2 linked regions of the Mytilus edulis genome follow. The protein of the gene in region 1 interacts with the protein of each later gene in a biochemical or structural test. Links are inferred from orthologs where the notes say so. Each region holds a gene or a part of one and is shown on either strand. Other genes may lie near its edges. The genes, in order: serine/threonine-protein kinase NLK-like and transcription factor 7-like 2.

Region 1 (7,950 bases):
CATTTTCTGACCAGTATATAATATGTCTTGTTGTTTTATATGTACTAATAGGTAAATCGTTGCATTTCTTTCACTTTCCACTTCAAAAGCCATGACTACCATGACTACACCAAATGTATTTCTATGTAAAACAACACTAAAAACAGAAAACAAAAAGTATTCTGCAAATTGTGGCAACTTTCCCTTGAATATGTAGTTTACCTCTACCCATCAAATCCATTAATAAAAATATATACATGGTATTTGGTTTTCAATGATATATAACCAGAAATACATTTACTTAACAGTTGATGCCCCATGCTTTAAACATTTATATTAAAACTCATTATAAATGCATCATTTAATTTCACTATTTATAGGGCAAAGTATACTCAATCATATTGCCTTCAAATGTATATTTAAATTTCATCAAAATAAGAAACAGATGAAATAAAATGTACATCGATATTTGAAAACAGAGAGACACTGGATCCAGAGGTCAGTTCTCTTTTAATTTGAAAATCTCCCTTGAAAGAACAGTCTTGTGAAAATCTGCACTTTATGAGATACAACTTAAGATGTTTCTCCAGTATAAGTCATAGTTTAATTTTTCGAAATTGTTAAATAATGTTGAACGATTATTTGTTAACTATAAACATATTGTCAAATGTGACTAATTATTTGTTTTAGCTCATTAATACAATGATTTATTTGAATGCTCTATAAAACAAAATAAAAGAGCAGAGTTCCAATGTGCTCTGTGTTGCACTTATTCTATATTTTCAAGAGACATACATAAATTAGGCCGTTAGTTTTCTCGTTTGAATTGTTTAACATTGTCATTTTGGGACCTTTTATAGCCGACTTATATAAGGTATGGGCTTTGCTCATTGTTAAAAGCCCTACGGTGACCTATAGTTGTTGATTTATGTGTTATTTTGGTCTTTTGTGGAGAGTTGTCTCATAGGCAATCATACCACATCGATAGGCGAATCCAGGCCCCCCCCCCCCATTCGTGGGGAAAATTTTGTTGATTATATAGGGAATCATGGAAGCATGACTAGAGAGGCCCCCCTTTAGGTCAGTCAGCGCCCCTCCTCCCCTCTTGATAAAGTAAAAATATCGATTGCATAATCCTTTAAATTACAGCCTAGAAAATTAAAGAAAATAACATTGTATTTATATAATTCTTTAGGATTACATAATCTAAATCTTTAAATAATGTTTTAAAAATACTTTGATATAGATAACATTATACAATATAGATAGACATTACGTATTATTTGTTTTTACAATCCATAAAGATGGTTATTATAATACAAAACATAATTCTGTCTTCATTAACAATCATGACCCAATTCTTTTAGTGTAATTTCATCCCCCCCCCCCCTATACTTGCTATTTGAGGCATAAAACATGGAGAAATACCTTTAGAAGGGGTATAGAAAAACTGTCAAGTAACACACTGTCCACAATAGGGTTTATATTTGTAAACACAAATCAAAGAAAGAAAATTGTGGTTTCGGTTGTCATGGGTCATGCCACACATTTTTAAACTAGATACCCCACTGATGCATGTGATGATTGTGGCCAAGTTTGGAATAATTTGGCCCAGTAGTTTCAGAGGAGAAGATTTTTGTAAAAGTTAACGACGTGGGACGCGGGACGCAAAGTGATGGGAAAAGCTCACTTGGCCCTTCTGGCCAGGTGAGCTAACAATCCAAACATATTTATAATCTTAAATAACTAAAATGCTATAAAAGCACATTTCTCTAATTTTAAAAAATATGTTTTCTTTCATTTTTATGTTGATAAGTGAATAATTGAACAAATCTTGTGTATGGACACAGATGTATGACAATGACATATCTCACTCATTACAATCTCAATCTTTTTCAATTAAATTAAAAACATCCAATCAAATTTTAGTAACCTTAGTTCTGAGTATTTTGAGATGGCTGTTATTATTACAAATATTACATTAAAAGTCAGGATGAAACATTGTAAGTTATAAAAATACATTGTCATATTTTAAGGACATGTCTATAAATTGTTTTATTAATCTAAACTATTTCATATATTTTTACAATACAATGGGAGACAAATCATGTTTAACAATTTTGATTTTTGATCAATATAGATTGTCTCCCTTATTTTAGAAAAATAAATTTAAGATGAATATCATTCTATTTATCAATTTCAACTGCAGTTAAGATTTGTTTTCTTCTGTAGAAAATACTATTTTATAAACAAATAGAATAGAGAATGGAAAAGGGGGAATGTGTGAAAGAGATGACAACAGAAAACAGCTCATGGCCAACAATGGGTCTAAATGCAGCAAGAAAATATTACACCCAGGAGCAGGCTTCAGAAGGCTGCATATATATATTTAAGTCTCTCACAACTGTTATAAATGTGATACGGTCTTTAGATCAATACATGTATTTGTAAAAAAAAAAAGTGTTGTTCTATTGATTGATGACATAGGTAATTGGAGACACTCCTCCCAGAAACATCTTGCCTTGAAACACCCTGCAACATAGCTTTAGTGAACAAGTCACATCAAATGCTCCAACATAAATATTAGGTAAAGGTCAACCCAAAATCTCTGAGAATGTTTTTTTCTTAGTAGCAATCTATAAAAAAAATTAGGATGGCATGCTTTCACATCTGTGAGAAAGTGATCTATAGAATGGTTTTACATTAACAGGTTTAAGTTCTTATAAGCTTGCTTTCAGTTATTGCAAGTATTATGTGATAACAGTATTATTTAACATTAAAGTGTGTTTTTCTTTATTAAAGCATTTTTTGTTGTTGAGTTTTTGATATCTATCATACTTTTATCCTAGACCTCAGTGCTTTTCTTGTATTGTTCTAATTGTATTTTTTATTTATCTTTTGATAGTCAGCTGTTGTGAGAAGTATATACTCTGTGGGAATCAGATCCATATTTTACCTACGATCGTTTGTAATTTTTGAGTAGTTTCTCTTCCATTGATTTCAATCTAAGATATATACCCAGTGACGTGTGTGAAAAAAGTCAAAGTGAACATTTAGGTCATATATTGACCTATAATGGTTTACTTTTTTGAAATTGTTATTTGGATGGAGAGTTGTCTCATTGGCACTCACACCACATCTTTCTATATCTATTTGTGACTGAACTAGTATTTTCTTTCCTTCTCTAATTAAAAGTATTACAGTAGTGGTCAATAAACTGGTTCCTCTTGCGTGACTGTGTGTGTCAGTGTGATTATCATGATGCTGATAGATTATCAGAGTTTAAAAACGCGAAAATGGAACAATATCTACAGGTCCAATTCTTACAAAACGTTTTTTTAGTGCTTGACATGATATTCATTTGCTACTTGCTAGTGCTGTTCACTTAGCTTTGAACTGTATGTATTGGTCCTCTTTGGTGATTTCTGATTTCCCCGCTTTTCTGAGTAGCCACCTACATGTCTGTTGTACACACATTAAATGTTAAATTTGTGTTACATATCTTCCACTTACAATTAAAACTATACATACCAGTTTTAAGGCAATAATCTTCTGTCTAAACTCCACATTACATAAGGCTCTCCAAGAATCAATGATCTGTTATATATAATGATGCTACATTGATCACTCAGTAGATGCCCTATCTTTAAATCAATCTAAAAATATCAATGAAATCTAATTTTATCTGATCAATTATTCCACATCTACATGGATCTATAAGTTCATTAGTTGTAACCATCTTTCCACAAGATAATTCAACAACTTTTCAAAATGGATACAATTTGCAACATGAAAAAAATAATAAAAAAAATAATAAATTTACAATTTTCGTAAAATCATTCTTGAAATTCATAGACTAGTATCACATCTTACATCTGAACATTTTTTTTTTTATTTTTCCCAATCCCTGTTAATTCTGCCCCAAAAAAACTTCGTTAAAAATCATGAAAAAAAGGAGGATGTTTTCCCTTACATGCATGACCCATCACCTGGAAAATAATTATGATTACTGACTTGATATTTATATACACATATATTTTGTTTTTATTTACACATTCCCATGTATTTAATATAGTTTAATAATAACTTATGCCAAAGCCCTACCCCCTCCCCCCCTATCTCAAATTTTGTAAGTCTGTTTAAAAGTCTAAAAATGAAGAATTTTTCCTTCCTTTTCTACCTCTTTTGAAGTTCAAACAACAATTGGAATGTAAGAAAAAAATCATAGTGCTTAAGGCTATCTTAAAAAAATGAATTAAGTTCATATTTAATTTCTCAATCATACTATTGAAAAACAATTTTAATCTCCTTGAAGTTCAGTTTTATAATTTTTTTTATTAGAAAAATAAAAAATTCTACAAAGTTTAGAAATTATTCTTTCATTAATTTTTCAAAGGATGGATTTTTTGCAAACATAAATGTATCAAAAAAAATAATAATTTTGTCTTTATTAATTTTTGTCTTTTTTTTCCATTCAATAAAGTTTTATTAAATATTTTAATTTGTACAAATCCATCAATTGAGCTTCATGATAGTTCAATTCGACAAATACATGAACAATTGTCCAATTAAACAATAAACAGATAATTATCAATAAGTAAATCCTAATTAACCAATTATACTCCATGTCATAAGAACATTGTTATTTTCCCAGTGTTTTTCAACATTTGTGTAATTGAAATTATCCTTATTCGGATTACGTGTATATATATTCGTAGGATGAGATTTTTATGACGTGATCAAAACATGAATAAAGAAAACAAGGCTTCCACAGTCTACATCAGTCCTTTGTCGTCATGATGATCACTTCCGTAAAAAGAAATAATTAGTGGGCGTGTCTTTCACAAACACGTGCTTTCGGTTTGACATATTGTTGAAGTCCTTCTTCAGTTACCGGACATTTTAAGAAAGTATGAGTCTTAAATGGATTGTATTATTTTGAGATTTTGATAACAACTATCTTAACATTTTTCATTGATTCCTAGATGTTTCGCTAGTGGATAATTGAAAAAGATTAATTAAATTTTACTTTTCTTTTCGTGACCTACAACAGACAACATTGCATTTTGGGAAAGATTGAAGCGTTGTCACGTGATTTCTTTGTGTGCCGTACTCGCGTGTGAGTCAGAACCCTGTCACCAAATAACACGAAATTATCTTTATGTTTTGGTAAATTTATATAAGATTTCAACACCAAACTCTCCAGTTAATTCGGAGAGTCATTAGTGAGTGTGGATGTATCGGACTTAGAAATGCAACAGTGAAATTTGAGCATTCCAAGCGTTTTTTTCGTGCAGGCAGTGTTCGTGGGGTTGTAATGGCAGTGGTTGGACATAGACACGCGAGGCATATCATGGCTTTTCAAGGAGGGGCACCACCCGCTCCATCTCAGCATGCAATCCTCACAGCAGCAGTAGCTGTCCCATACTTTCAGGTTGTTCCTCCTCAAGACGTACAACCCGACCGGCCAATCGGTTATGGGGCTTTTGGTGTTGTATGGTGAGTGTATATTTCTTTGTTCGTCTCGTGCAAGTCTGTTCATAGAATATTTTAAACAAAGAAATAATAATAAAATGTTCATTTTCATATTATTCAATTAGTCAAAATAAAAAAGAAACGGGTACCGTTCATTGCCTCATCTTCGTTTCAACTTCTTTGTTCTTGAAGTAATTTCTTTGTGACATTGTCACAAAATCAGCTGATTGTTCGTGACAATGTGAACACAATTTACCTTTTTACAAATAAAGCATTCCATTCATAATTTAACTGGATTGATAGATAATTGTTATCAATTAAACTTAATAGAAAAACGGTATAAGATACAAATTAAAATTTATATGAAATTATCTTGTACGGACAGGTGAAATATATTTTGGAATTCATTTCATTTGATGTGACTTTATATTTGATTAGTAGACATGAACTTAGAGAATTTGTTTTTGTTATGAATTAAAGATATGTTGGTCATTAAAAATAGTTAAGTATGATCCACAGTCAACTTTTAGCTTTTTGTAAACAATAATAGTTTCACAAAAAAAATATCAAAACATCTTGGAAAAAAAAATTCCAGGTTTCAGTTCACAGTTGTGGTCCAATTGTTAACCTTATATATCTATCAGTTTTAAAAAGAAAAAAATCCCATCCAGCTCACACAGAAGTTAAACATATACTTATATTTTATAGGATGTTCAACATGTTCAATGTAAACAAATGAAAATAAACAAAAGGGTATTCAAGATACATTGTCATGAATGTGGTCACTTTAAACTATATACAATCCAAAAAGAAGCAAACAAAAAAACGATCGTTTTAAAAGAATATGTTAATTTGAAGCATTATTTTTAACAACCCCAGCTGTCAGATACAATACTTGAAAAAGTAAAACGAAAATCTTTTTTAAACGAGACCTCATGCCAACTTCCTTTCTGTAAATTGGAAATTGTCTTAAACTACATATAAAATACCCATTTGTAAGTATATATTGATGCATTTGTATAGTTATGGGTAATACTACATGTTTATTATGTGTGACATGCACAAGTATTACTCAAGAAAATTGTGCTACATGTACATGTACCACATTCCTACATTATTTGTTTATGAAATTTTTATTCAAAAATCAAATCAGAACATGCAATCTGATTTTACGATTAATCAATTAAGTTTTCAAGTCAACTCTTAACCCTATCTTAAGTCTTAAATTGATATATTACATGTTACAAGAAGAATATTTTATATCTGAATTTTGTTGCGTTGTATACGTAAAGACAATTTAAATGCACAGAAACCTTGATGTTAAAATGTTGAACTTGTGATGAAAAGACATTAGTTCTAGGTGACTGTCCATAGTGATCATTGACAACTTTTAACAGGTCAAAAAAGTCATTTACATTTTATTCATAGAAGTTAATGACACCGAGGTAAATGACCACAAAAATTTCATGTCAAATTTTAACATGATCTCAAAATGTACTTAAAAAAGATAGATACTTTTTATATAGTTTTGATTTTAAAAGACATCGATATCAATATTGAAATTTGTAGTTGATACGGGTGAAAAAAGTATAAACAGTTGGTTGTTTGTTGTACAGAATTGATTCACATGACTGTGTTGTATGGTTGCTGTCTTTTTGACATTTATTCTTCATCTCATACAAAAGATTTATAATTCGCTTTGCAATTCCTGAAAATTATGACACATAAAGTTTGTATGAAAAAAATAATTGTATGATTGCTGGTGACTTTCAGTCTACTATTCATAAGTTCGTATGATGTGGATGTAAATAATTATAATCTCTTCCAAAACGAGCAAAACATGCACAACAAAGTCAGCTATGAAAGATCACAAATTTGAAACCATTCATAAATTTTATAATTTGGTCCACCATAATTGAAAGTTTAATCTATTTATAGGTCAGTGACGGACCCAAGAGATGGAAAGCGAGTGGCCCTGAAGAAAATGCCAAGTGTGTTCCAGAATTTAGTCTCCTCCAAGAGAGTATTCCGTGAACTGAGAATGCTTTGTCACTTTAAACACGACAACGTAAGTACAAGAACATGATGAAGATTTTTCAAAATATATATATATACCGTACATGTAAATCATCATGTACAAGTAATGTATTTAATTTATATAGTTCTAGCAACTCAAATCATTGCTTTGATTTGTCAGGTCTTTCATTATTACTCATTTATGCACAGCTTTGTAAAAGTTAAAATAACATAAAAACTGATCTCTGCTCGAGGAAAATTGGAAATTGAAGTCCATAGTCAAATAGCAAAATCAAATTCTCAAACACTGCTACACACCATACGAATGTACAACAACTATCTTATTCGTCAGTATTCCTGACTTGTAAGTGTCTTGAAGGTTTCCGTTATCTGCAAGGAAACAATTTTTTTTCATTCAGTAAATTTTTCCACTTTGGGGGGTTATTTTTCTACTCTTGAAATTTAGTACATTCCAAGTAT
Region 2 (7,974 bases), on another chromosome or scaffold:
TAACTGGTAAGTATATTACTATCAGGAAATAGTTTTCTGAATATTTTTAAAAAGATGTGGTATGATTGCCCATGTGACCAATATCCACAAAAGACACAGAAATTAACATCTACAGGTTAGGGTATGGGAATTAACAATAAGCAAAGTCCATACAAAATAGTAAAGAGGACAGTAAACAAGAAATGAAATGCAACTTCTAGCTTGAGCTTTATACATGAACAACCTTGAACAGTCAAGACATTCATATGGTCCAGGTTGGTTGATACAAGACTAAAAGTTGTGTTTAAATAATTGCATTTTGTTTTTAAGCAACTTTCAGCACTTTAGGATATATTATGATGTCAATTTTTTGGGATGGAAGGCAAAAACCTACAACTTACTCATGGTATTCTTTCAAACAATTTTTACCACTGGTTAAATTGTTCATGTTGTGGTTCATATTAAAGATTAATGATTACAAAATAATCAAAACATAAAAACTATTTCAAAGCAAAAGTATGACAGATAATTGAGTTACACATGAAAGGATGCTGCGACTCAATCCTAAAATAAATCAAAAACATTTGTCCCTCAACAAGACTTGTAAGTTGAAAATGGTTCCAAAAGTGAAGTTTTTTGTTATTCAAAACAATTACTTACATACATGTACAATGGACAAAGAAAAGTTTTGTTCCTTTTTATAGATATGGGTTTCAGCTTTAAAATTTGAGTTTATAAATATATGCATCATATCTATGTTTCCTAACCAGTGAAATTTCCAAACTGATAATATAACGGCCTAACTTTTTCATTTTTTTTATTTTGCTGTTTAGTGAAAACTTCCATATGTTTCCAATTTTTGATAGAAAAGGACTTAATGGTCTACAAATTGTGTATGGAATTTGAAGTGATGATATCTTCTGAAGGAGACTGTCAGTACCAGCTGAATGTAAGCACTTGTCAATTACTGTTGACAACTTAATCATATACCCTTAGAAACAATGGCAGAAATCAAGTCCGCCCATTGTCATCATCTACATGGCTACATTATGATGACAGAATACAAATTATTGTAAACAAACAATTTTCAGATGCACCAAACCACAGTCCCTTTGCAGCTGATACAGACTAACTCTGAACAAGGCTAATTTGGAAATTATTATCAACTTCATTAATAAAAGAGGGGGCAGGACCTTTTTCAGGACGTCAGAATCAGGTATTTTTAATCTCTGGATTTTGGGATTGAACCTTTAAGGATCCAGGAATTCTTTTTTCGAATTTCGGGATGTCTGGCATGGATTTATTTTTATTTAATATTCGGGACCTCTTGATTACATCTTTTTAAGCCCAGGATTTTGAGATCAGGAGCCCTCCGATCCCCCTCATAAAAGTTATACACTGAAAATTAACAAAGTGTTGTTTAATTGAAGTACAAAAGTTTCAGTTCTCCAACAGTTTTTTTTTTTTTCATTTTGGACCTAATTATAAGTCTGAATGATTTTGTCTGGCCATTGGATGGCTTACATGTGTTGTAATAATGTATGAGATGTTTTTGTTTGAAAATTGTATAATTTTATTACACAATGTCACTATTATATGTCCCCAAGGAATTTACCTTTTTTCAAGATGTTCTCGAAAAAGCCATTTTAGACCTAATTTTTGTATTAAGATCCATCAGTATATAAAGGATTATTCTTTGGTTGGAGGGCATGTTCAGCTTGGTTACACTTATAATTAATTTAAAGTTGTCAAACCAACAATAGAAATATATCTTCTTTTGAACAAAAAACCCAAAGATATTTACTATTTCTTTTGTTCAGTGTTTTTGTCTAGTTGCTTCTCAAATTTAAATCTGAAGATAACAACTTTTCAGGGATCATAAGAAAGTCCAAATCTGAAGATAACAGTTATGATATGATAATTATTGAAAATTAAATTTTGTTAACTGATAAAAAATACACTTAATAAAAACTATTCAATAAAATATTTCTATCTGTTTATAACAAACCAAATTAAAGCTCTCTGTTTATATATTTTTTTAATTGAACCAGGGTGCATTCAATGTATACTGGAATTTACTTTGACAAAACTCTTCTTTTATGTAAAAATTAAGAAATATAATTATACATATTGAAACTCAGTCGGCACAAAATTATTCAAATTAGAAGTTTCAGATTTTTTTTATCCTTGATTATCTTTGGGTGAGAAATTTCACATCTTTTTTAATTTTCATTACTCTAACAGTTTTAGGGGATTATGAAAACTGTTGTTCTGTTTGCCCTCACATTAACTTTTAAAATAAATGAATCAAATGCCTTTTGTATGAGAAAACAAAAGATAATGGATTTTAGACAGAAAGGATATTGTTGTCAAAACAATTAACATGTTTAATTGACATGTGTTGTGATTTCAATCAAATCTGACAGACTGTGATCTGATTATCTAATTATCTGTATAATAAACAACTTCCACTCTCAATGACCATTGGTCAGCTTAGCTTATCTGACCCAATGGTCTTCATTCCCAGGCAATTCAAAATTGTAGGATCAAATTTGACTCTATTAACTGAAGTGTAAACATAACCAAAAACCTGTATTATGAATCATCTTATAAATAAAAGTGCAAGTGAATAAAACTGTTGTTACAAGTAGTAAATAAATTTACAGTTCACTGACCAACACAATGTTTTGAAGAGGAGTCCATTTTACTACAATAACGAACCTTAACAATTAAATAACAGAGTTGTAAAGCGACCATAATATTATCATGTGATAAAAATAGAACGGTGTGCTGCTTAACAAAGATCAAAGGGAATACTGTATTATGATTAAAGCTTACCATCTTCTCGCCCGTTTTCTGTTTTGTCACCGTCGTATCCGTTCCCCAAACTACCATTTTTACCCTGCAAAGAAAACAAAATTCCCTTATATTTGCAGCAAATATCCTCGTTGATGTATAACGTATCACATGGTAAGATCAAAGGGTAATTCCTCCATTGATGTAATTATTTCAATCAACATTTTTACGAACCTCTTCGGTTTCCGTTACTAAGCCTAATTTGTCTTCGGATAAATTTTCAGATGATCTCTTTTCCTCTTCACCTTCATCTTTATACACTTTCACTTCGTCATTTGAAAAGAAGTCTTCTGAGCCGCCAGAGTTCACATGCGGCATTGTCATTTCACCAAAAACCTAAATAAATCCCACTCTTTTTTGTGCCACTATCTCCCATACACGTTTGGTTTCCGCCATGAATAACTTGTGAAGACATTCAGATGGGAAAGTACCCAATTGGCAACGAGCACTTTACTTCATAGCCAATCAAATCTCGGCTTACAAAATAGGTTCGGTATGACGGAGGTCATCGAAAGGGACACGTATTTATTAAATTTGATATTTGAAACAATAAAATCAACTTTACAGAAAATACATTCCTTAAAAAAAGTACGAAATAAATTAAATCATTTTTTAAATTGACCATTACAATCAAAATAATAGCACGATATTACTTAGTTCGTGCAATAATTGCAAACATCATGTCATTATTTACATAAGTAATTCGATTTTAAATATCAGAGGAGTTTGCCCCCAGGTACCTTCCCTTTGATGTTAGAGCTCTACAGTTGAAGTAAATGCGTGCAAGTGCAATGAAAAAATGATGTGTGCTTCTCCTTCGTTTTGCAATGTGTTTTGATTGCTGGAATAATTGATTTTGATGTGATTAGTAAATATTTTGCCTTAAATTAAGAAAATTAGCTTTTTGAAGATGAAATGTCATAGGAAAACGGTTATATAAAACTGATATTTTAAATAATATAAATTATTATAATTTAAATTAATTTATTTAAGTCAGATATTTGATGGACTTCGTATGGACTTATTTAAACTGTCCTGGACGAAAAGAGTTTAAATAGCCTCCATTCTTCTTGTGCGTCTTAACATATAATGTTTTAACACAGAACCTTTGATCTCCTGTTTATCTCAAATCTCAACGATCCGATAGATGGGCTTGCACCCTAAAGGTCAAGTGTTCAGGGAGAAAAATTCATTGATTTGTTCAAATTATATCTTCAATCTTATATTTTTTGTGTATTAGTAATTATTTAAACAAAGGATTTGTCATTTTCAACGGTAAAGTGAAATGTGTTATATGAGAAATTGGAATTTTTGTATTAAACTCATTCCGTCGGTTTCCTTTGATCTTTGTCGGCAAGCCTTTGTGATACCTTATATGGCAGTTCAGATTGAACATTCAGTCTAGTTTGTTTACAATTTGTTTGTCTTGTAACTATCGCCATCTAGTGGATGCGACAAGGAAAATTATACTTTTTGGTCATCAGAAATTTATGATATGTGTATTGCATTTTGTCTTTTCCTTGACAGGTAAAGTAATTCCGGTGGAAACAGAGAATAAGCAGATACTCGTTCGCACACATTATGCATTTTCTGAAAATTTGTGAGAACTATTGAATGTAGATTTAAAGAGTACGTGGTTTACAAGAAAACATCAAGGATATCATCTTTCAAATAATCTGGAAATGTTTATATTCCACTTGTTTACTGATGTCGTCTTCTAAATTTCTTATCAGGGCAACTGTTTATAAACCTAGGGTAAGCAATTAATATCCTTTAGTTGAAATATTACACGAAGTTTATCATTTAATTCCTCTTTTAAAAATAAAATGAGACTAAAGTCAATTAAAAATATTCTGAAAAAATAAATAGTAGATTAAACCTGTGTTAAAATTGTCTCAGATCAAACGTTTTGAAAGATATATTTCTTTTTGGTATAATTCAAAATCACTTACTTACGGGTGATTATGAAAAAAATATAACAATTATTAATCATTTTTGTTTATAGCTGTATAGTTTTGATTTTCTTCTTTTCTGTCTTTAATTTTTTTTGTCCATACAAAGAATCGGATAAAAAAAATAGAATAAGGAGCGATAATTAGATTGTGAGGTTGAGAGTATAACAGTTTTTTTTTATTAATAATTATTTTGATCCCACACCGTTGAAAATAAATATTAAAACTGAATTAGAAAAAGAATACTTTAAAGTCAGGAAATTTTGTTTAATTAAATATTCCGATCGGCCCAAATTTGAAAGCTGCACTACTTTCCACGAACTAAATTGTCGTCCCTCAAAAGCATTGCGAAATCTCGTCTCAGAAGCCTTACAACTTAAATCTTTCTAAAGATATTTTCACTCAGAAGAGGCAATCGAGAAATACAGACCTTTTAAGAGAATATCTAAACCCTGCCTTTTCTCTCATCGCAGACGTTGGAGATTAAATTTAGACATATCTGCGCGTATGTGTGTGTGTGTTTGTTCGTGTACCATAGTGTCACAATAAGCAAATAACATAAAATTACAAAGTTTTTATAATATCTACAAAATACATAGATACATTTCTACGAATAGCTTTAGGTTCAAGCAGAAATGGTTCCCGTAAGCGATTCTGATGCAGCAATTAGCGCTACTCAAAATGATCAAGTCTTTCTACCCTTGGTGCTTAATTTTGTATTATTGTTTTTTCACTTTTCCAGTTTTTTTAATGTATCGGGTTTTTTCGGTTGTTTGTTGTTGTTGGTTTTTTTTATTAATAATTTTAACAGTTACCTTAAAACTAACCGTAATGAATAGATAAATATTATTTAAATAGTGAAAACAGCTCCTTATAGAAATATTAAAATGAAAAAAAAATATGTTTTATTCACATTCGCGACGGGTGGATGAAATTAAAATTTCATAGAAATCGATAGAAAAAGATGAAAGAAATCAGCGAAACGGATTTGATAGCCATGTATACCGCCCTCGAAGGTTATGTTACTTTTATTATATTAAAGAATCACTGAGCGTAAATTATACCCTACTGAAGCGGAATTGTTTTGTTTTGTAACATTTTATTTTTATTCCTTTTTGAACAGACTTATGTTATACATTTGTTAATGCGCAGTATTGTTTTGTTTTATAACTATTTAATAATTACCTGAATAATGTTGCAATGGGGGGGGGGGGGGGGGGGGGGGTGGCTTGCATGGAATATAAATTTGACTACATTATATTTATGCCGTATATCTAGTATTCCAGAAGCTGATTACAATAGAAGTATATGCTATATATTAAGTATCTCAGTAATGAGAGCAGATCATTTACATTTTTAATTTATAAATATCTAAATTTTGTAAATGATAAATAAATAAGCTATAATATATTTAACCCGTTTAACCATAAAATTAGTGTCATGGAAATTATAACTGTTCATATTCAGGCTAAAATGAAAGTACAAATGCGTTAAAACTTCACGAAAAAATAACATTCTCTCCTATTATGGAACCCAAGTATTTTATATTGACGGTCACTGATATAATACTTCCATGGTCCTATACTAAGCAATTTACTTTCATCTACAGATGTGTATACAGATTTTTAAATAAAGTGTAACCATATGAAGGCTTTGATGAAATCATATGCAAAGGAAAATTAATAAAAATCAGGGAATACAAACTTGAAGACGTATAAGGAACATAAAAAAAACCACCAAAATATAAACACGAACAAGATACTGGTGGTAGCTTATTGTTTGGACATTAACATCAACTGGACGTGACATTAATTTATGGCAATGCGATTTTGAGAATTTTACTTTATTCATTGGAAATATAGTTTTCTGCTCCGCATGCTGCTGGATACAGTTAACCGGTGTTTTTACGGCGGTTTTATTGAATTTCAAGTTTCGAAAATGGTTTATGTAAATATCGTTAAAAGGCACAGTAATAGGAATGTACTTGCACCCATCGATATATTAAGCTCATCATATGCAGTGTTGTAATGATTACACGCCTGTCCATTTTTGTATGAATTGGGTGTCACAGTTGCATAGGGGCGAGTGGAAGATTCCACGTTCCATTTTTCTTGAATGGAATTCCTACTGCGGATTTGTTTTGCAAATGTTACATTAAAGAAATTGCATGCCAAACATGATTGTTTTGGGTGGTAGGGGGGGGGGGGGGGGGGGCGGTGTGATACGTATAATGTCTATTGTGAATTTTTTGTAGCAATGCTTTATGGATAATTTTAGAATCCAGAAACAACTAAATTATTCCTATTCCACAATGGAAAAAAAATAGCAGAATATAACAAATAGTCTTCTTACTGTCTGTGTAAATAATAGGATTCCATTCCAATAAAAATGAATTATAAACAATTGTTAATAAAATATACATATTTCAACAGTGTGTATATATTTTGATAAAGGGTATCGGGTCCCGCGGAATCTGGTGTCTCGCCTGCGTCTTTTGCTGTCATCGGTTCTTATTTCAAAATGTTCAACTTACAAAAAAGAAAAAGAAATAAATTATAGAATTGAGAATGGAAACAGAGAATGTGTCAAAGAGACAGCAACCCGACTATAGATTAGAAGGTCGGTCGACGCAGCGAGAAACCCCCGCACTCTAACGCGTGCTTCAGCTAGGCTAGCCTCTCAACAATTATATACTAGTTGAGCACAAACGACTCAAATCCTAACTACGAAAAAAAACCCTATCAAAATGTGTATTCTTTAACTGGTCAACTTGATTCGGAATATAGAAAATAAAAAGATGTGGGCTTTCTCTGAATTATCAAGAAGCCGTTTCTAAACAAATTTGAAGACAGTTCAGCAATAAGTATCTGTGTTTATGTGGATGTCTTCATCATAATAAATTAATAATTTGTCAAAATGAAGTTTTTATTATGCAATTTTTTTTTAGATTTGATAAAAATTATAGGTTACCGGACCTTTTTTTCACCCGAGAGGTTGTGCAAAATTGTCAGGCACGGAAAATCAATTTTGTGTGATCAAAAGGAAATTTCATGATAGACTTTTAAGCTAAAATGTGACAAGATAGCTCCTATAACATGCTCTCAGAAAGAAAAAAAGAAAAATGGGTTACCGAACTTATCTTGCTACTTAAAAAAAGGCAAATTCAACACATTTCAATTATAAATTA

What was found.
Region 2: of the proteins of serine/threonine-protein kinase NLK-like (region 1) and transcription factor 7-like 2, one has a biochemical effect on the other in vitro, tested with the Caenorhabditis elegans proteins (4 studies listed by BioGRID). The link is inferred for Mytilus edulis from reciprocal best matches to the Caenorhabditis elegans genes lit-1 and pop-1.

The regions. Positions count from the first base shown.
Region 1 is NC_092349.1:90,583,200-90,591,149, forward strand, and holds the start of serine/threonine-protein kinase NLK-like, read left to right. Parts: upstream 1-4,759; 5' UTR 4,760-5,296; coding exon 5,297-5,478; intron 5,479-7,392; coding exon 7,393-7,522; intron 7,523-7,950. UniProt on the Caenorhabditis elegans protein: Has a role in the Wnt signaling pathway controlling the asymmetry of cell divisions during embryogenesis. Operates in the AB and EMS cell lineages influencing cell specification.
Region 2 is NC_092352.1:20,412,797-20,420,770, reverse strand, and holds the start of transcription factor 7-like 2, read right to left. Parts: upstream 3,274-7,974; 5' UTR 3,160-3,273; coding exon 3,010-3,159; intron 2,882-3,009; coding exon 2,818-2,881; intron 1-2,817. UniProt on the Caenorhabditis elegans protein: Transcription factor. Part of the Wnt signaling asymmetry pathway. Binds to the consensus sequence, 5'-(C/T)TTTG(A/T)(A/T)(G/C)-3'.